3 linked regions of the Nothobranchius furzeri genome follow. Each later gene encodes a partner of the first gene's protein in a complex. Links are inferred from orthologs where the notes say so. Each region holds a gene or a part of one and is shown in the gene's direction. Other genes may lie near its edges.

Region 1 (3,500 bases):
TGAAATCAAACCGATGAAAACTTCTCAGACGTGTGCAAATGTGTGCTGCAGCAAACACATCAACTCTTTCTCTTGTTTTATCAAAGTGTTTAAAGTTCAGCATCGGTGGAAGCTGCTCGTTGGCTCAGAGTGTTTTAATGAAGAGATTCTGGGTGGATGTGTGCGTCCGTGTAGCCTCACACCTGCTGCAGCTGTGGCTCTTTAGTGCAGGAGAGAAGAGGCAGGAAAAGCTGTACTATTCTGTATCATGTAGTTCAATAATGGTTTGTTTAGATTTGAATGGTTGTATAAATTCCACTCATACTCCAGATGGGGATTAAAATACTTCCGTTTGCTCCAGGTTTTCTGGATTCATGTGACGTCTAAATGAAATCCCATTCTGTCGTAGATGCCGTGCCGCTGTTCTTGAGGCTGCTTCACTCTCCTCACCAGAACGTGTGTGAACAGGCCGTCTGGGCTCTGGGCAACATCATCGGTAAGCAGCCGCCAGCACGATCGTGCGTACACCTTCACTGACTGACACTGTTGGCTGAAGGGCAGACGATAATGTTTTTGCCCGAGGCTGTGTGTGTGCTTGTGTGTCTCCCAAAAAGCACATCTTCTGGGTGAGACGACAAAAACTTCAAACTCTTGAATTTGTACAGGTGATGGTCCACAGTGCAGAGACTACGTGATCAGCTTGGGAGTGGTGAAGCCCCTGCTGTCGTTCATCAGTCCCTCCATCCCCATCACCTTCCTCCGCAACGTCACCTGGGTCATGGTCAACCTGTGCCGTCACAAGGACCCCCCACCGCCAATGGAGACTATCCAGGAGGTGAGTCACAGATTAAAAGTGTAATATTGTTCCTACGGGATCTGAGGAAGATCTGAGCGATTCCTTCTCCGTTCCAAATTATTTATTTATTTATTTTTACCAGTAAGAAGTGAAATATTCCCTGATTCTTAAGTACTAAAATAAACTGTTGCATCAAGTCTAGTCACGTTGATGTCAGTAAAGAGTCAGTCTTTCTCTTTGGTTTAATTTCATTAGGTAATTAATGATATTAATGTGTGATTTCAGTAGCGCGTTCATTCATTCATTCATTCATCACATGAATGTACCAGAGTCAGCTGTAAGGTTCCTTCTGTGGCTTTTTCACTTTCCTGTTTTGTATTTGTTATTTTTTAGTGTAATGGTGCGTTTAGGGTCTCTTATTTCCTGGATTCAGATACAAATAACGGTACTGGAAACTACAAGAGTACCTTTATAAATACTTGACCTGGGCTTTAAAGAGCAAGTCACCCCCTACCAGATTATTACTCAACTCCCACTTCCTGTTTAAAAAATGCAACCAATGCTGTTGCCTAGCAGACCGAGAGGGCGAAGCCACTAACACACACACACAGGCTCACAGCGACATTGTGACATCATATGGTACCAGCTAACGTCCTAGGGTAACTCTTAAGCCTGATTCATGCTTCTCCGTCAACTCCAACAGGGACAGACACGCACTCACGGACGGAGACATTTTCCCCTCATACTTCTCCATCTCCTGGGGAGTGTTGCAAAGCAATTCCCCGCCAGGACAACAGAGGGCGTAGCGCTGTTCTGTGGTATCCTGTCATGTACCGGTCCAAGATGTGTGTTTATATTGTGTTTTTTTTGTATTTAAGAGACTTTTTAACACAGACAAATTTGTCTCTCATCCTCCTCCACCTCTTCATGCGCTCCCCACCTCTAAACTCATGTTTTCTGTCATTTCAGTCCACAAATAAAACGCTTGCTGCGCATCTTTTCACTCCTCCAGTCACGGGGAATTAGATGTTCATGTTTTTAGAGTTTTTTCGCGAGGTGTTCTTCAAGCTGCTCCGTGTCTGCCGCTAGTTATCCTCGGCTCTCTTTATGTTTTTGAGAGCGTAATGGCGGCGGTGTAGACGACAGCGGTGCCCTGACCAATCACAAGCTTGTGTTCTCCATCTCGACGGACGGATGTTTAGAAAAGAGAGCTCGACTCCGTCCGTCCTTGCAGAGCTCTCCAGCGGGCCCGCAAGGACGGATAATGGCGTTGCGTGTCTCCGCACTGACGCAGAAGCATGACTCAGGCTTTAGCCAATAGCGATGGCAGATTTAAATTGAAATGCAGTGCAGAGTTTCTACCTGACAACGACACAACACTGACAGTTTTAGGCAGAAAATTAAAATTTTAACTAAAATGCACTGAAGTGCAAAACTAGACTATATGTGTCTGCAGCACGATCAGACACGCATTTATGTGGTTTATCAGAAAAAAAGTAAACTTGGAGGTGACTTGCTTTTTAATGGCCGTCATCACTTGAAAATAATGTTTGAAATGTGAGAGGAACTAAAAAGTTTGGTGCTCCCTTAGTGATCGTGTTTAATTGTAGGTGTGGTGGTTAGTCATCCTACCTGCAGCTTGTTTCCATCTTCTGTTTCTGAAGCCTTCTGTCATGTTGTCTTCTCAGATCCTGCCAGCTCTCTGCGTGCTGATCCACCACACTGATGTCAGTGTGAGTATGCCTCTGCCATACTTGTTTATATTTGCTAATTACAGCGTTTAGTAAAACGGCACCATTTTTAATAAATTTTCAAGTTTCAGTTGTAACACCAAATAAAATGTTTTTTTTGCTGCTCTGCTGCCTGCAGATCCTGGTGGACACCGTGTGGGCTCTGTCCTACCTAACAGACGCCGGAAATGAGCAAATCCAGATGGTCATCGAGTCCGGCATCGTCCCTAACCTGGTCCCTCTGCTCAGTCACCAGGAGGTCAAAGTTCAGGTTTGTAGAGAAGTCTGATGCCTTCCACCTCAGGGCTCATCCGGCACGACGGCTAACCTTCTGTTTTACTCGTCTGCTCCACATCCAGACCGCTGCCCTGAGAGCTGTTGGGAACATCGTGACTGGTACTGATGAACAGACGCAGGTGGTGCTCAACTGTGACGCCCTCAGCCATTTCCCAGCACTCCTCACTCACCCGAAGGAGAAAATCAACAAGGTACCAGTCTCCCGTCTTTCTGCCCCAAACACAGAAGAGCTGAAAAAGCGACACCGTTGGTCTGGAAGTGATGAAATCTGAGACTTTGTGCCGGTGTGGATGCTGTGTGAACGGTGATGCAGGGATCAGATAGACGGTAGGAGGAATTCACAACGACGACGGAGAGGAAGAAGATGGAAGGAAAAGAAGACATGAGACTCGTCTACGTTTGTGGTTGGTGACAGATAGGGGGGCGGAGTGTGAGTGTGAGTGAGTGTGATGTCACGGGTTGGTGGAGTCAAGGGTGCTGAAGTATCTGTGCTGATAGAAGAGTGCATCTGAGACCAGTCACGTTCAAAAAGAGGCCTTCTTTGTGACTGGTTGATGATTAGAGCCTCAAATCACCCCTCCCCTCCCGCAGCACGCCGTCTCAACCAGAGGTCAACGACCTTCAGTCGACCTCTGGACTCTGATCCAGTTCCAACATTTTCCAGAGCGTCGGCCCCAGATGTTTTGATTTCTATCTGA
Region 2 (4,013 bases), on another chromosome or scaffold:
TTTGCAGACATAGTTTATTGTTTGTGCTGATTTACTGGAAGGTTTATTGTCAATATTGATATAATGCAATTAGAAGTGTTTTGACATATTTTTATTTTAAATAATGTAGCTAGATGTTTGCTCCATGACGGTTTTGTAGGATTGTAAGGTATTAGAGTGGATTTCTGAAAACATACGAAAGAGAGGGGTTTGCCACTACATTTTTTATTCAAGCAACTAGGCAAAATATTTTGCACACACACATGCTTTTTATTTGAACCTTTTTGTGTATTTATTTTAGGCCTTATATTTGCTGTGAAGTTCTAGATGATTATCTTGATTAGTTAAGCACTAATTATTTCTAATACCAATAGGCCTCCCCTAAATTATAACCCCAGTATACAGTGTTGCTATCTATCCAGAACTTGCATAGCTTGACATTTTGTCTTCTCACTGCTGCCACGATTAGTCGATTCGTCACTGTGACGTTGACAATAAATTTAATAGTTGACTCTGATCATCCTATGAAGCATTGTTTTTTTTTCTATCATGCTTGCTGTAGCAACACTGCTGCTTTCTGTCTTTCTGCTCGAGGCACGTGCGCAGTAGTGGCCATCCAGGTGCGCCGTCACGACACCGGAATAAACAAGACGTGGCGATCTGTCAACATAGCTCAAAAGTTTGGGAGCATTTTACAAAACTAGAAGAAGCATGTACAGCGTAAATCCTACCACATCATATAATTTAGAACAACATAAGACAATCTTAATTGTAACCACCATTGCTTATAGCAGGTGTAGGTAGAAATACCAAATGCTTTCTTCAGTAACCAATCAGATCTGCTTCTGCTAGCTGCAATAAAATAATAGGTAGCAAATGGGAAAATAATATTGTCTTGATAGAGGGGTTCCGCCATAATAGATTATTTAAAGTAATGTTTGATCAGGCTATACTTTCACACAAACAAAGCAGTGTTTCCTTCGATACGGTCTTACTGCTGTCCCCCATTCTAAAGAGAAGGACTTGAAACTGCAAGAATGGCTCTAGATGTTATCAACAGAAGTAATCGTGTTTATACACAAAATTGACCACACTGATTTAGCATATTCACTCATGTGATAGTTATTTTTGTATATTCTGTTAATCTTGTAGTCGTAAACAATAGATATTGCTTATGTTTAGCATAGCTTTTAGTTTTTAACTTGGTGAGCAGCAAAAAGATCACAGCACATTTTAGGTTGGTGTTTGAATGACTAGCCTAAATATTTTCTTAACAGACAAGCCTGCCATTGCACCTCCTGTGTTTGTTTTCCAAAAAGATAAGGCACAGAAGGTAAGTTTTCTCATTTTTCTTCATTAATGTAAAGCCTATTTATATCATGGTGCTTTTTTTTAGACATTTAACATTTATTATCAACCCATGCTTTAATTTTGTTAATAAAATAAAAATTAAAGCTGAATTCTTTCACAGCCTCTTAAAAAGCCATAAAACACGATTAAAGCGAGTTTAGTTTAATTAGATTTTCTTAGTATTTCAGCAGGAAACAACTTGTATCCTGTCCTTTTTTGGTATGAGGTTGGTACTTCTCTTTGGATGTATAATAAGTAAAAAGTCTTATTGCACTCTTGTAGCGATCTGCTGAGGGCTCAAGCGCAGAAGATGGTGAAGGTAAGAAAAGTGTTTCTTAGCTGAAAATTTCTTTTGATTTGAGATGTTTAAGAATTTGCTCCAATTTTCAGACTCGGATAAAGACGAGGGAAGCTATTGCCCCCCTGTAAAAAGGGAAAGGACATCGTCATTCCCACCTCCACATTCTGGTAAGAGCGTACGCTTACTAAGCAAAGCAGTTACCTTCTTTCTTGTCCTTGCTTGTGTTGTACAGATGGATTTGTATTCTCAGTGCAATGTCTGTCTGCTCTTTTGCAGCTCCCAAGAACAATGTATTCATGCCCTCAACATTCTGCCAGTCTCCGACTGGGAACTCTGATTCTGAGCCAGGTGAGCTATTCAGACCAGCTTCTGTGTCCCACAGCTATAAAACTTTCTTTAGTAAAGGTTTACGGAAGGCTGACATGCACTACATATCATAAACACTTAGCTTTTCAGTGGTTTAAGACAACTGGCATACATAAACACATTTTCCAGTGCAACTTTGTTCACAGTGCTGTTACCCAAATCTGAACAAGAAACTTTCATTGCATTATTTATAGATGGTGATGTCATCACATAACATATTACCCAATTTTTTAGGGACCAATACATTTAAAGAGTTGGTGTTTGGCTTTAAGGGGGATTGTCTTTTAGTACTATTGAAAGACCTCGAGTTTTCTCATTTTTTATCTGTCATTGTGAACCATCTTTAACGGCTCGTACTAAAGATGTAAAACATTTGTGATGCATATGCCTGGTATGTGAATAGTCTAAACCTACTTAAGGAAAGCTTCTCAAAATCCTTATTTTTAAATCTTATTATGGTTCTAATTCTCCAAAGTCCATTATGATCTTGGTTGCTTGTAATGAAGTTCTGTTCATAATTGAAATTTTAATTATATAATTCTAATTTAAAACAATTAATCTAAATGTTCAGAAAGTACAGAACTGAACACCGTAGAAACAGATTATTTGTTATTATAAAAAGAAGACATAACTTGGTTGGCAAATGTTGCTGTTGATCGCTGTTGGGAAACGTCAAGTAGCTTATTATTAAACTCATTAAAACTATAGGTCACTTAGTTTATATGTGCCTTATTGTAACTTTGTATCAAGTTAGCTGGGTAACACTTTACAATAAGGGTCCCTTTATTAATGTTACTTAGTGGATTATTAAGCATTAATAAACCATTAAAGTATTTACAACAGCTTAATATTAATATAAATATTAAGTAATGCATTGCTCCCCCCCCCCCCCCCCCCCCCGGCCCTTTGTCCTAATCTTGAGGACATTTATTATGGGTAATGTTAATAAAGGTATCCTTTGTTTATTAATGCTTAATATGGCACTAAGTAATGATAATAAAGAGACTTATTGTAAAGTGTTACTGTTAGCTGTTATCAGATTACTTATTTTTGATTTTTTCTTTCCCACGGACATCGCTCCGCTTGGTTCAAAAAAGCCAGTCTTTTGAACAGCTCTCGAACGAACGGCTCCCTTCAAAGAGCCTAAAGCCCCATCACTAGTAAAGAGAATTGGTGCAGGTGTTGTCTTTACTTCCAGACTCCGTTGTTTGGGTGCATTTTACTTTGTCCACCATGTAATCACAATTACTAATAGTATTAGAATCGGGTAAGACCTGGGTGATAAAATAGTTGCTAAGAAAAACACTCAACCCCTCCTCTGTTTTTAACTCATTCACTGCCAATGACGACTAAAGTCGTCATTTGCATATTTTGCTGTGGGTGTCGGAACGAGCCCCCGCACCGTGAGAACAAACACACCAGCTCTAAAGCTGATCTTCATCGCGTACGTCACACGTCACGTGATCAGGAAGCAGAAAATCCATGTGTTAGATCGTTTTGGGCCGCTGCTGTAAAAAAAGTGAGGCACGAACCGGAAAAGCTTCTGCTGATCACAATTTGACAACTGATTATGAAAGAATGAAGAATGCCCGAAACGCACGGATTCTTCCTGATGTAAAGGCGAGTCTCCTCTGTTTTGGCAGTTTTGGCATTTACATCATCATAGTGCGCAACGTTCCGTGACTCCTACAAAAAAAACTGTGAAAACGCTGAAAAATGCTGGCAGCAAAGGGCTTTTCTGATCAGGGAACAGCTGGCAGTGAATGAGTTAATGGGTTCAGATGCACCCCAGGGTGTTTTTTTTTTACCATTACTTGTTCCCAGTTCCTTAACTAAACCTGATGTGGTGAGTCCTCCTGTATGCATTTCGAGGGTCTTGGTCCAAAATTTGCCCCTTACAGTCCCGGTGGGGTCCAGTGGACACTGTGCTTTTTTGAGTTTTGCTTGCCTTCCTCTGTTTCTTGACTAATCCTGCTGCAGCAAGCCCTCTGTTTAGAGTTTTGACCAAAACCGTGTT
Region 3 (4,272 bases), on another chromosome or scaffold:
TAGAACTACCTGTGTGTGTTTACCACCCAGCTTCAGCTCTTCTGTGGTTGGGTCTGACCCAAGTTAGTAAATGTAAGTCCTCCATCAGGCTTGTGCCTGTTCTAGTGTCATTTTAAAGGATTTTATTTATTTATTTAACCATTAATAGATGTGAAGCTGGAAAAATTAAAATGCTGTGCAAAATTGCATTCATTTCTGTAATTTAACTAGACTGAGAAACCATTTAAAGGCTCAGGAACCTTTACAGGTGTTTCTATTTGCAATTTTAAATTTTAGCTGATTGGGGTCTTGTTAAATATCACACAGTGACCTTTTAATAGTCTAGATAAGTGTAATGTTCCTGTTAGTATTTCCTCCTGTTAAGTGCTTATTTATTTAAATTATTCAGGTTTATAAAAAACATTTGGACATACATTTTATTATGTTCCAGTCATTAGTCATTTATATTTCACTAGTGTAGTAATTCTTGCATGCTTTAATGAAAAAAGTAACTAAGTAGTTATTTTTCTTGGTAATTAGTTACTTTCACAATCTTGTAACTCAGTTAGTAACTGAGTTACGTTTTTGACAAACTAATCAGTAACTATAACTAATTACTTTTTTAATGTAACGTTCCCAACACTGTTGACAATACGATGGATCCTCCTCACCAGAACCCCTGAATAGACCTTACCAGGGAGGCTCAGAAGTCTGATACCCCTGTAGTTGGAACCATGGATGTAGTTTTGGTGGGGGACATGGTCCCCTGCACTTTTAACTGTCCAAATACAATATTACGCTATAAATGGACTCTGGTTGAGCACTAGCATGAAGTGGAAAACAACCGCTTGTGTTGAAGCCTGTTTCCCATTAGAATGTCCATACGCTCATCTATTGGCTATGCTGATACTTGCTAACATGTGATTGGCCGTTCCTGCCACCTGTGTACTCAACAGTTCAGCATTTCTGACATTGCATAAAAGAGCCTCTAGGCTGTAGTTCTTTACATATTTTTGTATACTTAACTGTAAGGATACCTGGTTGACCCCGCCCCCCCCCCCCCCCCACACACACACACACACACACTTCTAAAGTCAAAACTACATCCATGGTTGGAACACACCCTGCGTTCCCCCTTTTACTGCCAATGCAGTGAAACTGACCCGATGTCCACGCGATACTATTATAAAAGCAGAAAGAAAAGAGCCAGGGTCCGGTTAAAGTCCGGACTAAAAAAACCACAGGCAGAGAGCTGAATGTCTGCAAACATCAATAAAATGAATCAATATAAGAAAATAGTAGATCAAAACAACTTTAGCACCATGGGTGACACATTACTCGTTGCTTCTAGATGTTTGGTTTGGCTTTTATGAAATGGTGACACAAATAGCGAAGCTAAAACGTCATAAAGTGGACTTTGTGTGACGACCCGTTTTTGTCGTCAGGGTGAGCCATCTTCTTTTCTCACCTCTCTGCTGGAGCTCTACGTCACAGGGAATTTCCAGTAGGGAAGGAAATCAAGTCACTTTATTCTGACAAACTTGTCACCTGTTGGATTTCATTTGGGCCTAATCTGCGTGGATTAAAAACTGGCCGTGGCTCCAGACCCTTAAAATGTTGTCTGGCTGAAGCGAGGCTGTAAGTGGGTCCGCGGGTTCGGCATGGCGAACAAATAACGAGTCAACTGGAGTGAAGCGGGACGAGTCACACTCATGGTCACACTTCATGCTACCGACTTCCACCTGATCGAGTAAACCAGGTAAAAGCCTGCTACCGACACACGAACCGCGTAAACCCGGACTCTGGCCCGTTTAGTCGGACTCGAGGTCCGAACTTCTCCCTAGACCGTTACGGTGTTCTACGGCTCTGACGGACTGCTTTGTTATGCTACTTACTTCCTCATCAGCCAGGTAACTTTGACGAGGTGTCGTGAAGGGATTACTTTTATAACTCACGATCCCCTAAAATAGATTAAGTGTTTTTCAGAACACATTCTTTGTCACCCCACGACAAATTCGGCCTGTTCATTGCACAAATTGTATGTTTGCTTCAATCTGTTTGTATTTTGAACTGAACTTTGCCCGCTCTTATTTGTGGTAACGTACAACAAAATGCTTAATAGAGGTTGAAAATGAGAAATTATGAAATTGTTAAACTTGCCGATTTTTAGGGCATGATTAGCCAATTGGTTTGGTTATAAAAATAACAATGTAAAATGTATTCCTAACATGAATTTGAAGTGTTTCTGACACGTTAGATTTTCAAATGGACCTTGGCATAACATTCTCCGCATAAGGAACCAAACCTACAGGGCTCGTTCCGGTGGGGCAGCGGGGACTGATAGCTTAGCTGCACCGACAGGACCGAAGGACACGCAGCAACTCTGTCAGCCAAGAGCTCCACTACTGTCACCGCAGCGGAGCCGCTGGCTGGTTGTAACGGCTTGGTTTTTACCGGACTCTATAAGCTTAAACAACAGGAGTCCGGTGGCGGTGATAAGCTGTTAGCTAGGAAGCTAACTGACACGCGCGTTCACAAGAGCCGCGGAGCGCGCGCGGCATTAACGAGCATCAGAAAGAAAGAATAAACTGCCAAAACAGTGCTGGAAAATACGTGTTTTCTTTTAGACACAGATTAACGCATATGTTTTCAATGTGCGAACTATTACAAACACCGTTTTATCAAATCGGAAATTGTTAAGACAACAATTTTCAGTTTACCTTTGAGACATTAAAAAAATAAAAAAAAAATAAATCGTGCGATAAAATAATGCTTTACATCACAGTTTCTAAATAAATGACTTTACACATATTTTAAATGCATTCGCCTGTAACTGTAATCAGTAATGAAATGTTTCTGCTCATCATTTAAGCAACTGGTGGAAAAAAAAGACCTTTAGGATCGTTGGCGTTTAAATGATTTATAGTAGCTGATTCTGCTTCCTGTTCCAGGTTTTGCTCAGTAGTTCATTACATTTAGATAACATTTGCCTAATAGTTGATCACCATTAATGATAAAATAATGAACATGAGTTTTGCAGCTCTTTAGCTTGCTGTGATGTTTAACGAAGTAGCAGGAAGTTTGGCAGCTTTTACATGGTTCAACTTGAACATGCGCTGCACTTTAGTTTATATTTATTTGAACAAAGACAATACATTAAAGCAATGTGACAGTTGATGGATTTGCAAACTCAGGTTTTTGTTGGGCTTTTAAAGTAAAAAAAAAAACAACTTATAAAAAGATGTTGTTAATGAACTATTTGCAGAAGTGCCATCTTTGTTATGTTTTAGTAAAGAAGGCTGGTTTGTGGTCCATGTATATTATAAAACTGTTGACTTGATATTGTTTTTTACTTTTGCAGACACAATGGCAGGAGACGACCCCTTCCTTCATCCATCCAACCAGGTAAACTCACCTGCAGCTCATTCCATTACCATGATGATCTAGGGCAGTGGTTCCCAACCTTTTTCCCAAGGGAGCCCTTTTTTACCAGTAAAATTTTTGACGACCCCCTCCCATTCTCTCTTCCAGTACAAACAGTATTAAGAAATGATCAAATTGTTCAAGCACATTTGAATATGCTTTGATTCAATAGATAACAGTAATAGTAGGCTCCAGTACAGAACAAAGTCATTAACAAAACCAAACAGAGCATAATGTGCTTGACAGTTTGTATTACTTTTCTGAACACATTGTTTCTTGTAAACACTGATAAATCAATCATTCATTTCAATAAACGTTTGACACATAAAAAATACACTGAGCAAAATGTACTTAAATGTGTATATTACTGTTTGTACTAGATTATTTACTGTAAAGGCTGTGATTAATCAACCAGTCGTATCTTTAATGAACTTTTGACACTTGAAAATAAAACAGTGAGCTGAGCAAAATGTTCTTAAAAGTGTGTTACTTTTTCTGTACTAATTATTTCCTGTCTTAATATCAGTAAACTTTTCACTCATGAAAAAAATGTGAGCAAAATGTAGGCTATAAACAAGTAATAAATTAAGTTTTAACCCCTTAAAGTGGAGAGGTCCTGGTGACCCACTGAGAGGCTTTGGCGCCCCCTTGTGGGGGTCGGGACCCCCAGGTTAGGAACCACTGGGTTCACTCTCTGTTACACTCTACACTCTCTGTGATACAAATCCTCCACCTTCATCCTGAAAACTTCAACTTTCATCTCAACATAGTCTGCAAGGAAATCTGGCTTCATAGTCCAACCTTCAGATGTTTGTGCGAGACTCAGAACAAACAAAGCTGTGAATAAAACAGTTTTTTTATTTTAATGCT

Evidence for each region.
Region 2: the proteins of kpna4 (region 1) and ranbp3b are in contact, whole or in part, in a crystal structure (PDB 5XZX), measured with the Homo sapiens proteins. The link is inferred for Nothobranchius furzeri from reciprocal best matches to the Homo sapiens genes KPNA4 and RANBP3. Residues at the interface, in NP_002259.1 of Homo sapiens: Arg96, Leu99, Ser100, Asp102, Arg103, Pro105, Phe133, Trp137, Thr140, Asn141, Ala143, Ser144, Gly145, Thr146, Ser147, Thr150, Glu175, Gln176, Trp179, Gly182, Asn183, Gly186, Asp187, Asn219, Trp222, Val225, Asn226, Arg229, Asp261, Trp264; in NP_015561.1 of Homo sapiens: Asn114, Tyr115, Cys116, Pro117, Pro118, Val119, Lys120, Arg121, Glu122, Arg123, Thr124, Ser125, Leu127.
Region 3: the proteins of kpna4 (region 1) and nfkb1 are in contact, whole or in part, in a crystal structure (PDB 7LFC), measured with the Homo sapiens proteins. The link is inferred for Nothobranchius furzeri from reciprocal best matches to the Homo sapiens genes KPNA4 and NFKB1. Residues at the interface, in NP_002259.1 of Homo sapiens: Arg96, Lys97, Leu99, Ser100, Ser101, Asp102, Arg103, Pro105, Phe133, Trp137, Thr140, Asn141, Ala143, Ser144, Gly145, Thr146, Ser147, Thr150, Gln176, Trp179, Gly182, Asn183, Gly186, Asp187, Asn219, Trp222, Val225, Asn226, Arg229, His230; in NP_001158884.1 of Homo sapiens: Glu357, Glu358, Val359, Gln360, Arg361, Lys362, Arg363, Gln364, Lys365, Leu366, Met367.

What each region holds. Positions count from the first base shown.
Region 1 is NC_091753.1:52,632,043-52,635,542, reverse strand, and holds part of kpna4 (importin subunit alpha-3), read left to right. Parts: intron 1-388; coding exon 389-475; intron 476-644; coding exon 645-814; intron 815-2,463; coding exon 2,464-2,508; intron 2,509-2,644; coding exon 2,645-2,776; intron 2,777-2,864; coding exon 2,865-2,993; intron 2,994-3,500. UniProt on the Homo sapiens protein: Functions in nuclear protein import as an adapter protein for nuclear receptor KPNB1. Binds specifically and directly to substrates containing either a simple or bipartite NLS motif.
Region 2 is NC_091751.1:45,078,052-45,082,064, reverse strand, and holds the start of ranbp3b (ran-binding protein 3b), read left to right. Parts: upstream 1-1,213; 5' UTR 1,214-1,228; coding exon 1,229-1,312; intron 1,313-1,611; coding exon 1,612-1,648; intron 1,649-1,719; coding exon 1,720-1,797; intron 1,798-1,906; coding exon 1,907-1,978; intron 1,979-4,013. UniProt on the Homo sapiens protein: Acts as a cofactor for XPO1/CRM1-mediated nuclear export, perhaps as export complex scaffolding protein. Bound to XPO1/CRM1, stabilizes the XPO1/CRM1-cargo interaction. In the absence of Ran-bound GTP prevents binding of XPO1/CRM1 to the nuclear pore complex.
Region 3 is NC_091741.1:65,343,663-65,347,934, reverse strand, and holds the start of nfkb1 (nuclear factor NF-kappa-B p105 subunit), read left to right. Parts: upstream 1-1,472; 5' UTR 1,473-1,738; intron 1,739-1,746; exon of another isoform or gene 1,747-1,889; intron 1,890-3,340; 5' UTR 3,341-3,345; coding exon 3,346-3,384; intron 3,385-4,272.